2 linked regions of the Caenorhabditis elegans genome follow. The protein of the gene in region 1 interacts with the protein of each later gene in a biochemical or structural test. Each region holds a gene or a part of one and is shown in the gene's direction. Other genes may lie near its edges.

What was found. Proteins that work in one complex are often made in the same cells at the same time.
Region 2: the proteins of mdl-1 (region 1) and mxl-1 interact in far-western blotting, tested with the Caenorhabditis elegans proteins (one study listed by BioGRID).

What each region holds. Positions count from the first base shown.
Region 1 is NC_003284.9:6,740,758-6,744,436, forward strand, and holds mdl-1 (Mad-like protein 1), read left to right. Parts: upstream 1-1,593; 5' UTR 1,594-1,728; coding exon 1,729-1,882; intron 1,883-1,931; coding exon 1,932-2,212; intron 2,213-2,501; coding exon 2,502-2,912; 3' UTR 2,913-3,142; downstream 3,143-3,679. UniProt on the Caenorhabditis elegans protein: Transcriptional regulator which binds to the E box motif 5'-CACGTG-3', when in a heterodimeric complex with mxl-1.
Region 2 is NC_003283.11:11,243,234-11,246,442, forward strand, and holds mxl-1 (Max-like protein 1), read left to right. Parts: upstream 1-1,605; coding exon 1,606-1,923; intron 1,924-2,553; coding exon 2,554-2,610; 3' UTR 2,611-2,693; downstream 2,694-3,209. Other genes in the region: pgap-1 (GPI inositol-deacylase), read left to right, coding at 31-227, 275-664, 718-1,140. UniProt on the Caenorhabditis elegans protein: Transcriptional regulator which binds to the E box motif 5'-CACGTG-3', when in a heterodimeric complex with mdl-1.

The sequences.
Region 1 (3,679 bases):
TCTCTTTTTCCCGCACGCATATAGACACACTCAACCAATACACACATACACGCGCGCCAGTCGAAGCGGTCAAAAGATCGAATTCTCAGAGCACGACGGAGGCAAGCTTTCGGGAGCCTTTTTCGATTAAAGGGGAAGTTGGAAGTATATGTGAATGCAAGTTGCGTGCTGCTCCAGTATTTTCAAACTTTGGCACGTACTCGGCTGTGTGACGAGGGCTTCCCCAAGAAATTATGGCTCTTCTTGAACCCTGCTCAATAACGGAGGTATCAAAAGATCTAGGAATGGGGCAAAGTATTCTGGCAAAGGAGTGTTCCAGAAAAAACACGTGGTACACAAAACAATATAAACAAAACATTTCCTCTTATTTTCGCCCGACAACAATTTCTCGTGATCAATGTATTTTCTCTCGTACTCATCGATCAGGAAAATCGCAACAAGTACCGTGTGTATGAGAGAGTGTGACACAGAATTGCCAAGCTCCTGCACGTGAGGCTTCAAAATCACGGCGGGTACATAGTTTTGTTACGGGACCCTTTGCCACTTTCACGTGAACTATTTTTGCGTTTTTGCAACTGGAGACATCGATGCAGGAAGTCCGGATAGCGAAAAGATCATAGTATTTCGTAAGCGTCAGTAATGTGAAGTGACTCAATGTTGGGGAATTCCACATGTTGAACCGCAAAGGACGTTTCGCAAGAATAAGAACTTGAATTAGTATTACAACTTCATGCTCCAGTTAGCAATATCGCAATGATTTTAACATCATTTTCTAGAAAAAAAACATAACAATCTCAATGTTCTAATATTTTCGCAAAATATGATTTCAGTACATGAGTTTGAAAACAATTTGTTCACAACATCTTCTGTGACTTCAGCCATCATATCGTCATCTACTTGACAAGCACGACAATACAACTTTCACAAAATTGAAGACACGTGATGAATTGTAACCGGCGAATATTGTCGGATTGCAACCGTCACATCAAAATCACAAGACCTAATGACATGTTCGGAAATACCTATCCAATGCATTGCATGTGAGGAAATTCACGTGGGTATTCCCCGATTCCGGCGGCAGTACGCTAGCGACTCGCAAATTACTTTAGACGGTAGCGGCAGCGGACATACCGCGACCCCGTTCGGTATTAATCGCATCTCCGATCATATATTTGCTGCTCTTTGTACCTCTCTCCATTTTTGCAAAACAAGACGGAAATAAAACCGCGCGCAAACAGAATCGCCGATCTTGCGATTTTGCTGTCTGATCGAGAAGAAAATTCCATATTAGGCTACCACCGCGTGTGTCCCGCGCGGACGCAAAGCGGTTGGGGGCCAAGGTGACTGTGTGAAGCGAAGAGGGGCGAAAACGAGGTCTTGCGCTGTTTGCGTGCGCAGCCCAAAGCAATGTGGTTTACCCCCGACGCAATCGGAGACCTATCTTGCCACAGCAAGTTCATGCGAGGCGCACGTGCATACACACACACTACCTCTCGCCGTCTGCCGCCTCTTCGGTGCTTTCCTAGTTCGTTCTCTGATGTCGTGTCCCGCCCTGCATATCGTCTCTCCCAGGGCCCTCCCCTACGTCGGGTTGGTTGACGCTCCCCACCCCTCGTTCCTCCTCCTACTTCTCCTGCGCCTCAGTCTGGACGCAAAACGACCCGCCAGAAAGCATCCCATTTTTTGTCGTACCCTCTAACACGCCCCAGTTGTTATTCCTTGTTTGCAATGGAACAGCAACTCAACCTTGGACATCTTCTCACCGCCGCACGTCTTTTAGACATTGGCGCTCTTGACATTTCTTCCCTAGATCTGGGAGCACTTACCTCCACATCTTCCTCTCCAGGATCTTCCTCACCAGCTATGTTCGATCTTTCAAATGGTAAAGACATGACATTTCGTAATAGTCTTAGTAACTGTTTTTATTTCAGAGTCCGAACTCCGATCACTTTTCTGTGGAAAACTAAAAGTTGACAAGAAACAGTCATCGTGTGCATCCAATGCCTCTACATCATCTCAACCCTACTGCTCCTCCCCACCAGCTAGAAAATCTTCGAAGCACAGCCGGACGGCACACAACGAGCTTGAGAAAACCCGCCGAGCTAACCTCCGAGGATGCCTCGAAACTCTCAAAATGTTGGTCCCATGTGTCAGCGATGCCACCAGAAATACGACGCTTGCACTGTTAACACGAGCCCGAGATCACATCATTGTAAGTTTCATCCACGTGCGTCTAGCGTGTTATCATTGTCGTGTGACAATACCATCCTTTCTCTCATTTCTCTCACTATTTACCACCTGGTCTCGTGACTCTAGCCAGTCCTTGTTTCGTTTCATGAAGATGATGCAAAGTGCCTTTCTTTTCTGTCCCGTTTTCCAATTAGTCCCACTACTCCCACAACTTCCGAAAAAAAAGAAAGAGAGAGGATGAGAAGTAACTTCAACAATAATTGTATAGTTATTTCCAATTGGGTTCAATTATTAATTAATTTTTTTTGCAGGAATTGCAAGACAGCAATGCAGCTCAAATGAAGAAGCTTAACGATTTAAGAGACGAACAGGATGAACTTGTTGCAGAACTTGCCCAACTTCAAGCCGACGAAGAAGTTGCTCAAGCAACTAGCCAAGCTTGCCAAACGCTTTCACAAAGCAGACCCGAATCTCGAGCATCTTCTTTCACCTCCACATCTTCTCGCGATTCACCCTGCTACCTGGAGTACTCACCATCAAGCAAACCAATGGATTCACATAAGCCAACAATTATCGACCTTTACGCTGAAGGCCTTATCCCAAGGGGTCCAATCACTTTTCCAAGACCTCTGGTCTACCCTCATAATGTTTTTGATCTCATGAATCTTCCACCTACCCCATTTGACGTGTCGCAGTTCTTGCCAATCAACCTCCAAGTTTAATGATCTATCCACTTTTGACTGTTATTTCTCTGAAGAACATTTCTTCTCCTGAAACCGATTCAATAAGTTACCCCCGTTTGCGTGTCATTGTTTCCATTTTTGCCTGAAATTCTCATCTGCTCTCCTTCCGCCAATTCTCATTCTCAACACTCTCACAATCCATTCGCCTTGCACTCATCAGCCAATTTAATTATTACCTAATATAGAAGTAATAAACATTTTTGCATTGCAACTATCATATGGTTATCTTCATCTTCAGTCTAGATTATATTTATAAAGATAGCACACCTTCCGTATCTTTCTCCGTCAGATGATCGCATCAGTTGGAAAAAGAAAAGGGTGAACCCAACCGCAGCCACATGTTGATCACGTGTCGCCGATCAGTGAAAAAGAATCGTCGGGCGTGTGGATCGTGTTGTAAATAGCCTCGCTCTCTTTACCCACACAGTCTCACACATTATTTTGATAGTCGTCAATCGTACTCATTCTTCTTCCAATGTGACCATCTTCTCGTACGAAATCAAATCTTCTTTGTGTTTCTACCGTCATTGCATTCAGAAGTACATTGAATAGTCATTCAAACATCTGCTACTGCTCCTTCCACCTTTTTCTCATCTTTTGTTGGCATCGAGTATCCAAATTGCGAAGAAAAATGAATCACCATACGTGGAAGTATTCAAAAGTATGCTAGAATGTAGTGTAGTGTTTTTTGAAACGTTTCCAAACTGCCTTTCTCAAAGAAGAAAAAAGTGAAAAGGTTAGCGTTG
Region 2 (3,209 bases), on another chromosome or scaffold:
TTTTATCAATATAACAATATTATTTTGTAGTGAACTCTATGACCACAGTTCGTTATGATGAATCTATGATGTATTTCAAAAACTCGTCGGATGGTGCAGTGGAAACGTGGATTTATCGAGCATTGGAAAAAGAAGAAGTTCGTTTAGTTCTCGATGTGACAGCTCCCTGTAGTATTGATATTCAAATGAGCCCTCCAATGACAGTGCAGTTATGGCGTTTTTATGAGGTGAGTGTCTCGATTTATGCTTTTCAGAAATTTATAGTTTCTTGCAGATCGTGTTCTCTCATTTACATGAAGTAGGCGGAACCATGATTGTGATTAGCGTATTCTTCGCTATTTTGGTTCGTGAGACACTGTTCTACAGTACGACGGCTGTTTTGTTGACCAACCTTGTTGCCTTATTTTTTGTGATTCACGGAAGTACAGACTACACGGACACCACTACACTCCCCATGGCTTTGGGATATTTCATGGCACTGGGTTGGAGAGCGATATGCTTTGTCGTTGACTGGCTTATTGTGTCAAGAATTGGATTTGTCAAAACAGGACATTTGGCGCTCCGCGATGACAAGTTAATGAATGGCCTGTACCTGGTTGGATCAGCAATCACAATCATGGCAAGAAATGAGGGATCAATTGTTTTGATTATTCTCCTCGCATATGTTAGTAACCTGGAAAAGTAATACAACTTTTTTAATATTGTTTTTTCTTTCAGCGTCATCATCCACGGGCAGTTCTTCTGATTCTCCCGACATTGATCCCATATATTCTCAAACTGGTCGGCTTCCCGTGGTTCTCGACGGATTCTCTTATCGTGTACCAACTGCAATATCAACCTGCATTTTACGCCGGCGGACTCTATCTCTTCGGTCTTGTTTCAAATCTCGGAAATCGACAGATTACTTTGCGATTACTCGTTTACGGACTTGTGCCAGCATTCCTCTATTTAATCACATCGCCTCTCGAACTATTTTCCGGATTCACCCTCATCATATTCAGCACAGCTCGCTTCGTTACATTCCCATCACGTAAATCTGTCACTCCTCCTGTTCCCGAGCAAGAAAGAGTTCAAGTGGAACAACCACGTCCAATTCAAAACAACAGACAACGCTATAACCTACGAAATAGGAGAAGATAATTTTGTGCCTATACTTTACACCAGTGCTTTTTATACATTTCTACGCCGGTTTTGAGGTTAATTACATGTATAGATAAGATTCTTCCAAACGTGTGGCCAATTGTTTGTCTAAGTTTCCCTTTCCCACCATTCTATTTTCTCATATTCAATTTTTTTATTTCTCTAGTCTTCACTTTTACTACATACTCGTGAATCTTCAAATTTCTTATCCCAGTGTTAAGAAGTTTTATTCGTATTTTTTGGTTTGATCTATTGTTACATGGTCTGTTTTCATATCAATCTTCGATTTAAGTTTTATGTATATATTACCTACATATTATTTATTAGATCTCTGTGATAATGAATATGCTATTAAAACACAATTTACGTGTAAAGTTATTTTACATGGTTCTCATGAGCCTTTTTCTATATCTCAAATTAAATATTATTTACATGTTCACTTCCCTAATGGAAAATAAACCTCAGATGTCTGACATGAGTGACCTCGAAGATGACCAGACAGGTCACTGTGGTTCCGGAGAACACAGCGGGCCGTTTGATCCGAAGCGGCATGCTCGAGAACAGCACAACGCTCTTGAACGACGAAGACGTGATAATATCAAGGATATGTACACAAGTCTGAGAGAAGTAGTCCCTGATGCCAACGGGGAAAGGGTTCAAGCATCGAGAGCTGTCATTCTGAAAAAAGCAATTGAGTCGATCGAAAAAGGCCAATCCGATAGTGCAACGTTGTCAGTTGATGTTGCCGAACAAGAATCAAAAAATGCAAAACTCAGAGAAGAGGTTAGTTAATATTTCTTATTTATGCAATATTGGGGTAACAAAAAATTCTGATAATGCGTATTGCGCAACGTATTTGCCGCGCAAAATATCTCGTAGCGAAAACTACCGTGTTCTTTATATTAATACTGTAGAGCTTAAGTCGATTTACGCGCTCAGTTTTCGAAATGAGTTTATTTTCGAATAGTGACAGCGATACTCCATTTTCCTTTTTGTATTATTTTCTCACTTTTTGATTAATGTTTATATTTTCTCGATAAAAAACTGATTTCAATTTATTCCGAACATCGAGTCCGTAAATCGACACGAGCGCCACAGTAGTCATTTAAAGAGTTACTGTAGTTTTCGCAACGAAATATTTTGCGCGTTAAATATATTGCGCAATAGCATTCCCAGGATATTGCGTTCCTGTAATATAGTTATGTTGAAGTTGATTGAGAATAATTTTTAGAAACTCCCTCCCTCATGCTCATACTTCTGTTGAAACATTTAGTCAATCGCTCTTAGAATCCCTAATAATTCAGATCTACAATCCTGTTTTAATCATGTTTTAAATCATGTTACAGCTCTCATTATTATCGTTGATTGAAATCACGCGGGCTAGCCAACTAATCTCATCAATTTCATTTTCAGATAGCTCGCCTGAAAGCCAAGAAAGATCCGTCATCGTCGCAGTCGATAATTCAATAATAACTACCGTGTATGCATGCTCAATAATGTAATGTAGTACTAACCATTCCAAAATTGCCATAGTACAATAAATGTTTGCATTTTATCCTGACTTTGCACATTATTTGAAAGACATTCTTTAATTTGAAATTTTCTGATTTTTCACGGGATGTTCATTACTGTGCAACTATCTTGATCATAGTCATCAACTTAATCCAACACATTTCAAATGAACTTGGCAATGCTCGTGTGAACATAAAGAGACTGGAAAACAAGTATCGTAGGACAGAGAATACATATGTAAAAATTGTATCTTATAATGTATAATCACTTCTTATCATTCCTGTAATATTAAAGGAACACTAAATTCGTAGAATGCGTATTGTGCAACATATTTGACGAACAAAATATCTCGTATTGAAAACTACAGTAACTTTACAACGATTACTGTGGTACTGGTGTCGATTTACGAGAACTCGATTTTCGAAACGAATTTCTATTCGAATTATTGTGACAGCAGAATTGTGACAGCATTGTTCAATTTTCTTTTTTTTCGTCACGTTTTGTTTTTTTGTTCTCTTATTATTTTACCGATTCACAATTGAGTTCCGTAAACCGAC